Linked DNA regions of Arabidopsis thaliana. The protein of the gene in region 1 interacts with the protein of each later gene in a pairwise test. Each region holds a gene or a part of one and is shown in the gene's direction. Other genes may lie near its edges.

Region 1 (7,979 bases):
CAAAGTCTCATTCAGACATTCCAGAAGGTGATCTCTTGTTTCAGTTTTTCTCCCTTTTTGTTGATTGTTTCAATATTGGTGTTTTATCCTTCGATCTCTATGAAAGTTGTTTCAATTGGATCGAGATTCTTCGCTGTTTATTGATTTTACGATACCCTTTTCAATCGTTTGGAAGTTTTTTTGGTTTGTCCTAATTCGAATTATTCTTGCTGTCTGAAGAATCTGTTTGGAAGTAAATTTGGATTAATCTTGCTTAGCTTGTATCTCCTGTGATTGATCGCGATTACGTTGGTTCTTCTTTCTGTTTACGCATAATTTTACTGATTCATCTAAATTTTGTTGCGGCTTTCTTATGATCTGTGTTCCAGAGTTTGTGGATTATTACATCAAACTATATGTTTTTAGAGTTGTTTGTTTTATTAAGAATGTATGATCTTCTGCTTTGGATGTTTGCTCACATATGGATATTTCTCTTTTGCAGGTATTCTAGTCGACTGAGTAAACAATCATGAGAATCAGAAAAGGAAGTAGAGTTGAGGTATTTAGCAACAAAGAGGCGCCTTATGGTGCGTGGCGATGTGCTGAGATTGTCTCGGGTAATGGACATACCTACAATGTTAGATTTTACTCTTTCCAAATTGAACACGAGGAGGCAGTTATGGAGAAAGTTCCAAGGAAGATAATTAGGCCTTGTCCTCCACTTGTGGATGTTGAGAGATGGGATACTGGTGAATTGGTGGAAGTTCTTGATAATTTTTCCTGGAAAGCTGCCACAGTTCGAGAGGAGTTATCTGGACATTACTATGTGGTTCGCTTACTTGGGACTCCAGAAGAACTCACATTTCACAAAGTTAACCTCAGGGCCCGAAAGTCGTGGCAAGATGAGAGATGGGTTGCAATTGGAAAGGTAATTTATTTTCATCCTATATGTTATGCTCTCACTTTTTACATCTAATATACTCTTGTTAATGTCTTTTTTTCTTTTCTTTTCTCCATTAAGATTTCCGGCTTAGTCATGATGTCCCCTCTTCCATTTCTAAGAAGTTCTGGGTCTGGTTGGGGGTGGCAATCTGCATTGTCTTGCTACGATATTGTTTGTTTGAAATGATTTTTTAACTAATGTGCTGATGAGCTTACATGTTGACTAACTGGCTTGTAATCATTTTCTCAGATATCTGGTTCTCTGAAGTCATCCACACTGACTGGATCAGACGTACATCAGAAGCTACAGCCCCACAGGAACAGCATGCCTCTCCACGAGCCTAGCGTGGTCTCTGCTAGATTGTTAAAGAGGCCGTCACCTTACAACTGGTCTGAATGTGCTGAATCATGTACAGGAAACCCTAAGAAGATGCGTTCATTGGAAAAAGAAGGACAGCAGCAAAAGGTAGATGCCATTTCTTGCCGACCAGAAAACAGGGGTGGTAAATCTCACGTGCAAGCTTCCTTAAACAATCACAAAACTGGTTACTGTCAAATTGTCAGGGTAAGATCAAAAGGGTTTAGTGAGAGTGTTCGTGCTGATGATTGTTCTGATAGCGATGTATGCTCAGTTGGTAGTTGTAGTGCTACTAGTTATGATGAGAGTAACATGCCACCTTGTATGCTAGATGGCTCTACTCAACAGGCAGACTCATGTAGCAGCGATGCTGAATCTTCTTGTGGCCTGGGGGAAGAACCAAGGTGGAAACATTCATCAGTTGGTGATGGAGCAAGAAATTCTTGTAGGTCGGAACTATATTCTTACCGCAGTACTCTGGGGGAATTATTTTCTTCTGGTCCCCTAAGTTGGGAGCAAGAAGCATCATTAACTGATCTTCGTCTTTCTCTTAATATATCAGATGATGAACATTTGATGGAGGTAAGAAATTTGATATCTACTGGTACCCGCAGTCAATTTTGTTAGTATCAATCAGAATTCAAATTTTTCTTTTTGATTTCTATGGTCAAGTCTGATCTACCTGTCTTGGATATACTTTCCTGAAATGTGGAATCAACTGTCATATATTGTTCTTTTTCCAGTGGATTTTATAAGTGTATAGACAGCAGATACAAGTATGTATGGAAATTCTGATTAGAATGAAAGTTTCCGAGGTTCTTTTCTATTGCTTTATCAGATTTCCCTTAGATTCCTTTATTGTAATTCCTGGAGGATGTTAAAGCAAAATTCATGTATCGATACTCTGAGATGTCATATTTTGAAGGGCTGTCTTCTGTTCATTAAATCTGTAATATCAATTTTATAGCACGATTTTCTGTTCCTCGTTTCGTGTTAACTTTCCACACTTGTGTGTTGATATACTTGATAACAAGATGGGTCAATCGTATTTTCCTATGTGGATTTTACTTCAGTGCAATATGAAGTCTGAATGTCTCATCTATTGAGTGCTCCTTCCTGTAGCTCTATGAAATGTGTTAGTGTGAGTTTCCTAGTCATTCCTCTGAACAATATTGATTTCCCCCTGCATTTTTCAGGAACAATGTTGCCTTATCCGGGCATGCAGACCTTTTGCTTCTAGAGGTCTAACTCTGATGCTGGGGTTTACACCTTCTCCCTTGACCATCTGAGTGGTGCAATACCATACCTGTTCTCCCTCAAAACATAACTGACTTCTATGCCATTTTTATTTTGTCGCTATCTTGATATTGCGGCTTGTTTCAGGGGCTTCTTTCAGGTGTCCTGGAGTCTACTTTGTCCACAGGGACTGAATGCTGTGGTTTGAGCAGGCTTCCTTATTTGCAGTCTGGTTGGATAATTTTGCTGACATCATGTCAAGTTCTGAGTAATATTTCTTTACACTTTTTCGTTCACTCGATATATGTTGCGGTGCTATCTTTTGTGGTGTTGTGTCTCCTCTGGTTGCTTTCTTAGAAGTGCATGATGTAGATGCTACCATATTTTTACTATTACTAGCTCTCTAAGCCTAATACGTTTAGATGTAGAACACAACGTTGTTTCAGTTACATTGGTTCTATTTTCGGTGTTTTTTCCAGACGCATAGCCTATTGATGCTTATTCTTTCTGGAAATAAGTGTTGTGGCCTACTGAGAGGTAAGTGTGCAATGGCATGAATGGGGTTAATGTAATAGATGCTCATCCAGAAAATGTGTTTGTGATCGGTGTTGATTCGTTATTCTGATTTGTTCTCATGACTTACTTTCATGGAAAATTATCGAGATGAACGGGAACACATGCCTGCTTTCTTACTTAGTTTGTCGCATGTGCATTGTGATCGGAGATTGTCCAAGCTCACTCTTCAGATGTCTCCAGCAAAGGTAGGTTGTTTGCATGGCAGTATGAAACTCTGAAGCAGAATCCATTAATTTTCACAAAGGTATGGATCCTTTTGAAAGATGTGTCGTGGTTCTTCAAAGTTTAACATGTTTTTCTTGAGTAGTTTGCTTGCTTATAGAATCAAAACGAGTTTCGTATCTTCAACCAGACTTTCTTTGGCAATTAGTTACTACTGCTACTTATGCAATGCAACCTCTGGCAATATTGATTGATTTGCGTTATGTTTTAATGGTTATGAAAACTGACTCTTCGATATAAGAACTTGTGAAGTAAAAACTCTATGTGATGAAATTATGAATGCTGAGGATGTTGTTATTACGAGCAATGAGATGTCTTTTTTTAAAAAAAAAAATTTGGTTGCTTGCTTGCAAGAGGACATCTTAGCATCAAATTTGAAACCGAAAGCTGACTCAATTCTGGTAACTACTGGCAGTAACAAGAAAACAAGTCATGAACCTGCAATTTCATTCTAATTCTACACAAGATGCAAATCTCAACTTAAATTCACTTTTAAAACTTGTTATTATTGTAAATTTTTTGAATAATACAGTTGGAAGTAAAAATCCACCGTACCAGTGTACCGGTAACGTGGAAGTATAAACCAATTCGCCAATCTCTTTCTTCCTATCACAATTTAAAGACAGCGACAAAATTAGACGGTTAGAATGCTGAGTTATACCGGGTTATTAAGATAACCTTTGTTTTCGTTAACCGAACAAACGCGACTGAGTTTCACTGGGAAAAAAAAAAAAAGAAGAAGCTTCTTTAGCTTTTGTGACGAATAGGAGGGAACTGAGTTTTAGGTTCGTCTTGATACGGCTTACTCTGTGAATCGAGAAGAAATTGAATTCGTTTTTTTCGTCTTTCTCTGCAAATTAACCCATTTGACTGTTTGTAGTTTCTTTCGCAGATTTATAAAGTTGGTCTTCTTCTCTTCTAATCGGATCGATTCTGCTTCCGGTTAACCGGTTTTGTTCCCCGGCGACAATCAGCAATCTCCTCCCCGGCCAATGATATACACGTTGACGAGAGGTTCGCTTCTCGGCTCTACCTGTAAGCTACGCTACTCTTCTTTATTTTCTTATCTGAGCACAGCTGCGCTGAGATTGGGTTTTGAAAACCCTACTAATGGAAATCCGATGGATAATTCTTCGCATCACATTGGTTATGTAAATGGGTTTAACGGTGGAGAACAATCGCTTGGTGGGTTTCAGCAGAATTCATATGAGCAGAGCTTAAACCCTGTTTCTGGGCAGAATCCGACGAATAGGTTTTATCAAAACGGATACAATCGGAATCAGAGTTATGGGGAACATAGTGAAATTATTAATCAGAGAAATCAAAATTGGCAAAGTAGTGATGGTTGTTCCTCGTATGGAACTACTGGAAATGGAGTTCCACAAGAGAATAATACTGGTGGGAATCATTTTCAGCAAGATCATAGTGGTCATAGCTCGTTGGACGAATTGGATTCGATTTGCAGAGAAGGGAAGGTTAAAAAAGCTGTTGAAATTATTAAATCATGGAGAAATGAGGGTTATGTTGTGGATTTACCTAGACTGTTTTGGATAGCACAGCTTTGTGGAGATGCACAAGCTTTACAAGAAGCCAAAGTTGTTCATGAGTTTATTACTTCTTCGGTTGGGATTTCAGATATCAGCGCTTACAACTCGATAATCGAAATGTACTCTGGTTGTGGTTCTGTGGAAGATGCATTAACCGTTTTCAATAGTATGCCTGAGAGAAACTTGGAGACTTGGTGTGGTGTTATAAGGTGTTTTGCAAAGAATGGGCAAGGGGAAGACGCCATTGATACGTTCTCTCGGTTTAAACAAGAAGGAAACAAACCTGATGGTGAAATGTTTAAAGAGATCTTCTTTGCGTGTGGTGTTCTTGGTGACATGAACGAGGGACTGTTGCACTTTGAGTCCATGTACAAAGAGTATGGAATTATCCCTTGTATGGAACATTACGTGAGCCTCGTTAAAATGTTGGCGGAGCCTGGTTATTTAGATGAAGCCTTGAGATTTGTTGAATCGATGGAACCAAATGTAGATTTGTGGGAAACCCTGATGAATCTATCACGGGTTCATGGGGATTTAATTCTTGGCGACCGGTGTCAAGATATGGTTGAGCAGCTTGATGCAAGTAGACTGAACAAAGAGTCAAAGGCGGGTCTTGTACCTGTGAAATCATCAGACCTAGTAAAAGAGAAATTACAAAGAATGGCCAAAGGGCCAAATTATGGGATTCGATATATGGCAGCTGGAGATATTTCTCGTCCAGAAAACAGAGAGTTGTATATGGCATTGAAGAGTTTAAAGGAGCATATGATAGAAATTGGTTATGTACCTCTATCTAAACTTGCATTGCACGACGTGGACCAAGAGAGCAAAGACGAAAACCTTTTCAATCATAATGAGAGATTCGCTTTCATCTCGACATTTCTTGACACTCCTGCGCGTTCGTTAATACGAGTAATGAAAAATCTACGTGTATGCGCAGATTGCCATAACGCATTGAAGTTGATGTCAAAGATAGTTGGGAGAGAGTTGATTTCGCGAGATGCAAAGAGGTTTCACCATATGAAAGATGGTGTTTGCTCCTGTAGAGAGTATTGGTAACGTCTTTCCACACAGAGAGGAGGAGCAAACACACATTTAAGGATTACAATGGAAACATGGTTTTAGTGTTCATTTTTTTTTGCAGGATGTTTTGTATTTGTCCACTCAGTGAGGAAGAAACATTCTTAAATCACAAGATCATAAAATTTCACGGTTCGATATGATTGACCAGAGTAATTTCTTTTTTCTTTGTCAAATAACATTAAGCTTTAAAACAACAACAAAAACAGTGGGCCACTGGGCCTAAAAGCCCAATTTCTCACTAGACGCGAGAAACCCACAGTGACTGTCATCATTCATTGTCCCGTGAATCAACTCGTCGCCGCAAGCTCACGGCCTCCGAGCACTGAGAAGCTTAACGTCGTCGATCACCGGTCCACATAAGCTCGAGAAATCGTCGTTTCTCATCGCGTAAAACGTACTGTAGAACATAACTCTAGTCCGACTCGAGACAGCGACGAATCTCAATGACGATCGCTTGAATCCTCCTTTCCCTTTCGATTCATACGGGACCTTGATCGTGTCTTTTCCGGCGAAAGCTTCGACGATCATTGATCCGGCGCAAGCGTTGCTAGCATCTCCGACAGAGAAGGATAGGACGTAGGTTTTTCCAGGGATAGTGCGGACAACTTGTGCGACGGCGCTTTCTTTCCCGGCGACGAGTTCGACGGCGCGACGGCCTTGAGGAACGGAGAAATGATCGGAATCTATGTATTTGACAGCTTTAAGAGACTCGACCATCCAACCAGGTAACGGAGAGTGATCGTCGATGGAGTTTGGTGGAATCAAAACACCAGATGATATGTTTGGTAAAACCCAAGGACCTTCTTCGAATCCTCCGTTCTTTAGAATGTTCTCTGCAAAACAAAAATAAACCCAACATGTTTTAGATATTTCCGTATTTGCCCCATTAAGAATATTTTTATTCAAACGAGACCCCAAATTAAGTATAAGAAAAGAGCACTCACTATTGGTGGGACGAGGAGGGAAAAGGGCTCGCATAGCAACACCATCAATGAGAGGTCCACAAGCAGGATCTTCCTCAACACCTGGATTATGTATCACTATATCTGCATAGTCACTTTGGGCCTTAAAAGCCCACGAATACAAATCCCAACCTGAGCTACTATACACTGTTTGTATCGGCATCACTGCATGGTGAGGAGCCACGGAAACGTTTAACCGCTCGTCTTGTGCGCATGTTCGAGCAGCACTGAACGTTATCGAATAGTACGACCCTTTCTTAACGCTGATTTTTTGTTTGATTGAGGCTTCGTTGCCTAGACGTACTGCGAATGCGCCTTTAGGCACGACAAGGATCATGTCGCCTTGTTTGTGTCCTGAGGGAATGTACTCGACAAAGCCTGAGAGTTCCCAGTTTGGGATTGCTGTTATGTTGATAACTTGTGTTCCTTTCATGTCCGAATGTCGTGGACCGAGTTCGAAGTCACCGTTTGGTAGTAGTCCTGTTTTGTTTTGTTAATGTAATCAAGTTACAAAAACAAAACTAGTTAGGGATTTGTTGTGAAATTTGATTTAAACGATAGTGATTTGCTGACAATAATATTTGAACTTCAACTGCATCTAGTCACCTAAAATTGACAGTGATTCTAGGTAAACAAATTCTCAATCTTGCTATTTTAGATCTGTATATGAATAAACAAGTGATCAGTGTATAATAATTGAATAAAAAGTTGGAAGTATGAAATATTTAAATGATTAAAAAGGTTAGTTACAGATGGGAAGGTGAGGGTAATTTAGTGACACATTTATTGAAAACGATTGACTAAACACCATGTGCATTTACAGATCTGTCTCGGCGTAGTGTTCAACATGTTCGTCAAGCTAATAGGTCATTCTTCATGATTTGTGGTGCAATATAAATGAATTATTTTGACGACAAACAAAATTTTGGACACACAAGTTATAAGAAGCTGTACAAATTTTTATAACACGAATTTCTTAAATACTAGAATATTGTTGGAACTCACTACGAGTTTCTTTTGTTGGTTTGGCTAGTATATAGACAAGATACGAAAATGCGAGATTTCTACGGAAAA
Region 2 (8,637 bases), on another chromosome or scaffold:
TCAACTTCAGTTTGTTTTTCTCGGTTAACTTCAGTTTGTTATTTATATATATCTTATCAAAATAAAAGCATAGACCATGGATATGTTTATATGAATAATATGCGAAGTTACTTAGAATCTTTATAATTCTTGCATGGATGGGTTGCTTAAAGATTGGCAAATATTAGCACCTTCCAAATGATAACATTAACAAGTTTGTAGAAAAACAGAAAGAAACCTATAATACGTAAAGTCTCATATTCCAAACCTCTTTAGAGCCCTAGCAGCCACAAGTTGTGATAATTAACTCCTCCCACCGAGCTCTCTCATATGGTCAAATTTACACTTCAAACATTGGTTTTGTAGTTCTATTCCAGAGTTGGATTAAGGCCAAGCTAGAATGAAGTGATATATACATATTTACTGATTTGTATGACTTACACAGGGTGTTGGTTTGTTAAGTTGTATGTGTGTGTCGTGTCGTATGAGCAATTATTAGTTATTGCTATTACGATTAAGATTATTAATATTCATGATTTTATTATTGTTATTTCTAAAAAGAAATATGACTAATTCATACAATTCGATATATTTACAATGTAATTTGATATGTTAAAATATATTAATGAAAAATTAACATAAAGTTTTTGGAAATAAATAATATTATATTAATGAAATATTCTTTGGGTATCTCACCAATGATGATATTATTAAGTAGTGAAAAATTTAACTTAAGTTAAATCAAATATATTAATATTAGATAGTACTTTAGGTTCATCGACAATAACTTTATACTAAAATTTCCAAGAAATTATACATTTTGCTATAGCAAGGTGATCATCTAATTTCCATTAATACAAAAAGTAAATATAAAAGAATGTAAAACCTAGAGAGAAAAATAAAACTTAGTAGTAACAAAATGTAAAATTCCCCCAAGTTAGAAGACGTAATGGCAATAACAAAATTGAACAAAGTTGACAAATTTGGAAAAATTAACAATTACGACAAAAGGTCTAACATGTATAAATATGTGCATGAATTAATAAAGAACATTACATTGTGTCTGAAAAACCAAAAATATTACTCGATATCAATCAATGTCTCTTGCAACCACAATGATCGTTCTTTTTCTTCAAATCATTACATGTTTTCTCTTCACGACCACTGCCTCATCACCTCACGGCTTCACCATTGACTTGATCCAGCGTCGTTCGAATTCATCTTCGTCTCGGCTGTCCAAAAATCAGTTGCAAGGAGCATCACCTTACGCCGATACTTTATATGACTACAGCATCTATCTAATGAAACTACAAGTCGGTACTCCTCCTTTCGAGATCGTAGCGGAGATAGACACGGGAAGTGACATCATATGGACACAATGTATGCCTTGTCCTAACTGCTACAGCCAATTCGCTCCTATATTCGACCCTTCGAAATCTTCAACCTTCAGAGAACAAAGATGCAATGGAAACTCTTGTCATTACGAGATTATCTACGCGGACAAAACCTATTCCAAGGGAATCTTGGCAACCGAGACGGTCACGATACCTTCCACTTCAGGAGAGCCCTTTGTGATGGCTGAAACAAAAATTGGTTGTGGCCTCGACAACACAAACCTCCAGTACTCAGGGTTTGCATCGAGTTCTTCCGGCATTGTTGGTCTAAATATGGGACCTTTGTCGCTTATATCTCAGATGGACTTACCCTACCCAGGTCTTATCTCTTACTGCTTTTCTGGTCAAGGAACTAGTAAGATCAATTTTGGAACAAATGCCATTGTGGCAGGAGATGGAACGGTAGCAGCCGATATGTTTATCAAGAAAGATAATCCTTTCTATTATCTAAACCTAGACGCGGTCAGCGTTGAGGACAACCTGATTGCGACATTGGGGACACCGTTTCATGCCGAAGACGGGAACATTTTTATAGACTCAGGAACCACTCTCACGTACTTTCCAATGAGCTACTGCAACCTAGTGAGGGAGGCAGTGGAACAGGTTGTGACAGCAGTTAAAGTACCTGACATGGGCAGTGACAACTTGCTTTGCTACTACTCGGACACCATAGATATCTTTCCCGTGATCACAATGCATTTTTCTGGCGGTGCGGATCTTGTCTTGGATAAGTATAATATGTATCTCGAAACGATTACCGGAGGAATCTTTTGTTTGGCTATTGGGTGTAATGATCCGTCAATGCCTGCTGTCTTTGGGAACAGAGCGCAGAACAATTTTTTGGTGGGTTATGATCCTTCTTCAAATGTGATTTCTTTCAGTCCCACTAATTGTTCTGCTTTGTGGAGTTGAAGAAACAAACCAAGAGATTCTCTTTTCTACATTTTCATGGTTTTAACTTCAGTTTTGTTTCGATTTATTTGTACTGTCACTAAAAGCATATGACATAGACATGTTTAAATGAAAAAATATGCGAATGAGTTACACAATTAATCGAAATTCAAATCACAATCTGCTATAATCTCAAGTTTTTTCTGGAGTTTGCAACTTGTTCTATCAAAGTCTTTTATAAGTTCATTTTTTCTCAATGCTTCTTATAGATAAACATGACCAAAGAAAGAAATCACTAATATTGCAAAGCACATAATTTTACCTAGAAATACTAAGTTATGTTTTGGTTTAGCCTCTCACAGCTTGAACGGTAGCAATCATGTGAGCCATCACGAGAGCGTAACGAACAGCTGTGTGTTGTGGAGTGTAGATGTCTCCAAGTCCAAACTCCCCAAAGTTGAGATCTATGTTCACAAACTTACCCGGCAACGACCTTTTAGCCAGAGCTTCATTCCATATCTCCAAGAACTCCTCCATCACCTTTTGTGCCTTTTCCATTGATGATATAGGAAGATACTCCACCTGCAAGTAACAACACACAAACTCAAAATTGAGATTACAAGAAACAAGACAATCACCAAAAGGGAACAGCTCCATATACCCTTTAGGTGATTAGATTAGCATTGAGACTATAGGGATTTAAGAAAACAAGGATTTTTTCATCATCATTGTGATTACACGAAACAAGACTAAAGAAACTTGTAGATGCATAGTCAACAATCAACAATGTTCAATTTTCATCATCTGTCTTAACATCATAAACAGCATCAAGGATCATCACTAAAAGATATTACAAGAAACTCTTTTAACAAGAAAAATCTGTAGAAAAACAAGATTTTCATCTTTAAAATTAATCACCACTGTTCAGTGTTCATCATATCTGTCTTAAACAAGAAAAAGCTGGAAACTTTGTTTACCTCCATGACAATGCCTCTAACATTCTCAGAATGAGTAGGAACAACTTTACCAACTCTCAACCTAAAATCACCAAGCTGATACTGAAACCCATCAAAGTAAAGAGCCACTTTAGATTTATAAGACTGAAGCTTCTCCATAATCAACTGAATCGAAGAATCAGCTTCCAAGACAATCCTCTGCGTCCTGATAATGAAATAGTACTTATTCGGCTGATCCGCAAGTGAAATCCCTAGAAAATCACGAGGAAACTCCAATTGATTCGCTTGGTCTTTTAACATGGGTTTGTAATAGTTGAGTGTTGCTTTCCATCTTCCTTCTTTCACACCATTGATGCTCTCTACACATTGTGTTGCTTCGTTTAGGATTTGGCTGCTTACTGTTGATCCTTGGTTTGGTTGCCAATGTAAAACCCTAGAAAAAAACAAAACCCAAATACAAGAATCGGAAGAGTAATCAGAACAGAAACGAAAAAAATCGAGATTTTGGAAAACGAAATTGGATCAAAGCTTACCACTTGACGGGCATTGTTGTTGAGGGAGAATGACAAAACAAACACTGTTCGAAACTGACACAACAAAAAATAAAAAAAACATATGTATATGTTATATCAACAAACCCAATCGAAATTGAGGTATGGGCCGAAGGCCCAAAACAGCTTAATAAATGTGGCCCAACACAGCTTAATTAAATACTCCATGTCTCTTGATTCTATTAACTGTTCTTAACCTGGACTTCACGTAGACGAGGAAGAAGAACCTTGAATCCGACATTTGTTTCTTCATTTTAAGGTAGGGTTAAGTCTATTTTCGGTTCTGGGTTTTCTTCTCTTTCAATTCTCAAACAATAACTCGCAATTTTATTTTCACGGATCTTTTTTATTTCAAAATCGAATTGAAAAAAATGGTTCTTCACAATCTAGCATATATGAAATTTGGGAATAAAGTTACGATTTTTATATATAATATGGTTTTAATTTCGTTGATTCTATGTTTTGCTACTATGATTGTTAAAGTGTCACTCTCATTTTCAACTTCTCGGTGATTAGTGTGTTTGTGTTCTTCAAAGATTGTAAATTTGAATAGCTTGGTTTTGTTTTCTCTAATAGACTGAGATATGTTATGATGTGTAGCTAAACCTCTTCACTGGTGAAAGCAATTTGATGTTATGGTTCCAATGGAAACTCAAGAAGTTACAGATTCTTTACCAAAAGCGCAGAGTAAATCGGGTAGTACTCAACTAGATGGGCCTGGAATGGTGTCTTCAGCAAATATACCTGAGGTTTTGACTGAAGATATGGTTTGTGACACAGTGATGCCACCGGTTTCAGTTTCCGGAGCTGCTTCCTTAGAGTTACCTTTGAATGTAGAGGAAGCGCCGTTGATTAGAGAAGAAAGTAATAGAACAAGTCATGATGCTGATGCCATTTTGGTTCAAGAGTTTTCGAGTCGTTTTCCAGACCATGCCTCTATATTAGATATTCAAGGTTCTGCTAGATCAGATCAGGTTACTTGCTGCTTCTTGAAAACGACTGTTACTCTTTGTTGGTTTCAGATCGTTTATTGTGCTTACGAATTAGATTTTTCGTCTACAGAGAGCTCAAGGTACGGGTTGTCCACCATCTTCGTCAGTTCCCGTCCAAAATATCACAACAGCAGCGGAGCATTGGACTTCTACATCGACTCCTTTAGGTCAGGATCTGCCCATTGATAGTGATCGCTATGCTTTAATTATAGTTGGTGTGCTAGAATGTTAAGATTTTTGTATGTTGTGATCGTTGTGTAGTTAACCATTCAGAGGATGTCGTTGAAGGTGGTGTTCAGCCTCCTAACGTCTTACATAGCAGATTAACAGTCAATGCATCAGCGGTTACGTCTCTTCCCAACAATCATATGGGACAGAGTCCTCGGTTACATTTATCTTCGTTCAGTGACATATGTGACCACGAGCTGGAGAAGCTGAGCAGAGAACAAGGGACCTTACTGAAAAGCTTTGAAGAGACGGTTAGTCTTTTTCTAATTCTTGGTTAATCTATCTTTATTCGGTTTCCTGTCCTCTCTGCTCATTGTCTCGTTGTTTGTAAGCAGACATTAGAGTTGAAGGCTGAACTCGAGAGGAAGATGGCGGAAGCACGCAGTGAGTATGATAGGAAATCCCAAGAGGTAGATGCTGCGTATAACGCTCAAGCGAAGAAGAATGAAGCGTTAAGGAGTTTGGTTGTTATGAACAGTCTCTTGGCGAATGCTTACAAGTCTACTTGTCCAGTGAAGAGTGCAGCCACTGATACTGCTACCGTAAGAGGTAAAGTTGAAGAGTATAATTGGATAAAGCAAATGAGCTAAACAGCGACACTAATTCTCTTCCCTTTTTTTAGCACCCAGGAGCTCTCAACATTCAACGCAGCAGCAGCAAGCAGTGCAAACTAACAGGCATATGAATTCAACTGCTCCTCCTCGACCCTCAGTCACAGCAGCTGAACCTATGAATTCGGCTGCTCCTCCTCGACCCTCAGTCACAGCAGCTGAACCTATGAATTCAACTGCTCCTCCTCGACCCTCAGTCACAGCAGCGGAAGCTACACCTCCAAATCTTTCAGCTCCTCTCCCGCACTGCAACACTCCTCAACCAAGTCCAATATCTCAGCAAGCAGCAGTAGAATCAAACACACAGATGCAATCAACCGCCCTTCCTCGACCCTCTGTTACAGCAGAAGCTCGTCCTTTACATCAACCACACAGCAACACGTCTCAGCCAAGACCAATACCACAACAAGCATTAGCACAATCCAACACAAATATCACTTCAACCGCCCTTCCTCGACCCTCAATCACAGCAGAAGCTCGTCTGTTACATCAACCACACAGCAACACGCCTCAGCCAAGACCAATACCTCAGAAAGCTTTAGTACAAGCCAACACAGATATCAATTCAACCGCCCTTCCTCGACCCTTAGTCACAGCAGAAGCCCCTCCTTTACATCAATCAAGCTGCAAGGCTCCTCAGCCAAAACCAATATCTCAGCAACCAGCAGTACAATCCAAGACGGATATCATCAATTCAACCGCCCTTCCTCGACCCTCAGTCACAACAGAAGCCCGTCCTTTACATCAACCACGCAGCAAAACGCCTCAGCCAAAACCAGTATCTCAACCACCAGCAAAACAATCAAACACAGAAATCAATTCAACTCCCCATCCTCGACCCTCAGTCACATCAAAAGCTATATCTCTGCAATCACCGCCCTGCAACACACCTCAGCCAAGACCACCGCCTTTAATCTCCAACCATACTCCAACTTCTTATCAACCAGCTTCTGCTCCACCAGTGCATGGTATAGCGCGAAGGACCATGGCACCTCATTTAAGATCATCTCGAGCTCCCAACTCTGCTGCTGCACCATCAACATATCCAAGGTTGGCTCAAGAACAACAAAAGCAACAACAAAAGAAGTCAAACAGTAGCTTGGTCTATCTCTCAGATGACGACTAGTGACAAATCTTTGGGAGTATATAACATCAGTATATAGTTTTTGAAGTTTCTCTTAAGGGAATATATAAGTTCGAGAGGCCCTTTAAAACATTTGAGAATGCCTTGTACGAAGGATCATTTCGAATACTAATTTTTTGGAGAATATCAAGTAAGTTAACTAAAATATTTTTCACAAATTTGCAGTTTAATCAAAATTTATTTACATAATTCTGTTATTTTTACTCTATAGGAATTTTCAAAATACTTTTTTTCTCCTTACTTCGAGTTTTGAAAATATTTTTCATGCAGCGAATCTCTGATATCAATTTAGCGCCACGTGGCACGTGACATACCCCGATCTCTAATAAATGAACTCTTTTTAAAATCGCCCCCCTCGATACATCAGTTCACTAGTTTAGTGACTCCACTCGACCACAAACGCTAACGCAAACGCAGTCGCGTGGACTCCTCTGTTTATTTCGCGTTTTAGATTTCTTAATTCTCATTCTGATTTGACTGTGGAAAGGGATTCGTTTCTCCTTCAAGGAAAAAGTTTTATCTTTGCTGGAAACTCAACTACAAACGCGGTTTTGCTCCATTTCGCGTTTGCGTTTTAGCTCCAATGCTGGTACTCTCTGTTCTACTATAAGCTGTAGCAAGCTCCAAATCCTCAAAAATCGACATTGTTGCTTCTTCATATTAAGGTGGGTTTCTCATTAAATATGCGTTTTCAATTCATTTCCCTACATGTATGAAGAAATCATGAAATGGGGTTCCCCAAAAACTTCACCTTTTACTTGGAGAGAGCATCATTGAATTTGTGGGACATGATTCTTTCCATCAAAAAGTTAGATTTTTTCGGTCAATGGTGGAGGAAACAGGTCCTACAATCGAAAACCGGTTTTTTAAACCGGTTTCCGACAACCGACACCGGGAATTGTGAGTCCCACAATCAAAAACCGGGTTTTAAACCGGTTCCTGACAACCGACACCGGAAATTCTGGGTCCTAACAAATTTCAACAGTTTGCTTCGACCAACGTTTTGCTTTTCCTTAAAAGCAAAGTCCTTTTTGGCTCTATCTAATTTGGTTTGTCTATAATTTTGGATCAAGAATCTACAATGTCAAGTTCATAAAGAAAGAGTCATGTGAGCTAAGTTACAGTATCATCATATAGTTCTTGTTAAGATTCACAAAATCTAATATTTATCAATTTTGGTAAAGTTTAAGATGTTTTGATTATAATATAAAGATTTTGCCATTAGTAAACAGTTTAAAGTTAAGAGCTTTTCAATGATTCTGCCTCTTTGATTACTATAATGGTTGAAAGGTCACTCTCAGATTTGCAATGCCCGTTTCTTTCTATTGGTGGTTGGTCTGTTTTCATTCCATTTATTATTGTATTTGCCATTCTTTGACTAATCCTATACTCAATCATTTCTTTAATCACATTATTTTAGTAATCAATATCCTTCAAGATGCTCCATTACTTCTTTTTAATATCCTCTTGTCTGCAACTTCCTTTTCTTGACTCTGTAGTTCTTACTTCAACTTCACCACTTTGCAGGGTAATGTAATCTATATTAGCTCTCTTGTTTGGTTCTTTTAGTGTTTTGGTTGTTGTGTTATGATGTTTGTTGTCTGTATGTGAAAACATAGCCAACTAACTTTAGAGGGAACTAAAGATTTTGCAGAATCAGATGAGTGACAATGGATCTTTAAATGATTGATGTGGACCGTATATCTATCGCTATGAGTTTCTTGTTTTCTCTTCTAACTCTGGGCCCTTTTAAGAATTGGAGACTCTTGACCAAATCATAGAATGTTTTTGGTTCATAGTGGGTGTAACAGAGTTAGAATCTTTTCGATGTCTGTTCACCAACTCATTCATTCACATTACACTGTAGTTTTACCTGTGAATTCTATAAAAA

Evidence for each region.
Region 2: the proteins of MEF8S (region 1) and AT2G28240 interact in a two-hybrid assay, tested with the Arabidopsis thaliana proteins (one large-scale study listed by BioGRID).

Annotation. Positions count from the first base shown.
Region 1 is NC_003075.7:15,656,787-15,664,765, forward strand, and holds MEF8S (Pentatricopeptide repeat (PPR) superfamily protein), read left to right. Parts: upstream 1-4,140; 5' UTR 4,141-4,305; coding exon 4,306-5,919; 3' UTR 5,920-6,093; downstream 6,094-7,979. Other genes in the region: AT4G32440 (Plant Tudor-like RNA-binding protein), read left to right, coding at 509-907, 1,172-1,861, 2,476-2,568; AT4G32460 (choice-of-anchor C domain protein, putative (Protein of unknown function, DUF642)), read right to left, coding at 6,250-6,776, 6,888-7,385.
Region 2 is NC_003071.7:12,035,243-12,043,879, forward strand, and holds AT2G28240 (ATP-dependent helicase family protein), read left to right. Parts: upstream 1-3,965; 5' UTR 3,966-4,030; intron 4,031-4,371; 5' UTR 4,372-4,406; coding exon 4,407-4,745; intron 4,746-4,833; coding exon 4,834-4,930; intron 4,931-5,024; coding exon 5,025-5,242; intron 5,243-5,326; coding exon 5,327-5,540; intron 5,541-5,613; coding exon 5,614-6,728; 3' UTR 6,729-6,933; downstream 6,934-8,637. Other genes in the region: AT2G28225 (aspartic proteinase CDR1-like protein), read left to right, coding at 1,077-2,285; AT2G28230 (TATA-binding related factor (TRF) of subunit 20 of Mediator complex), read right to left, coding at 2,613-2,846, 3,242-3,653, 3,754-3,767.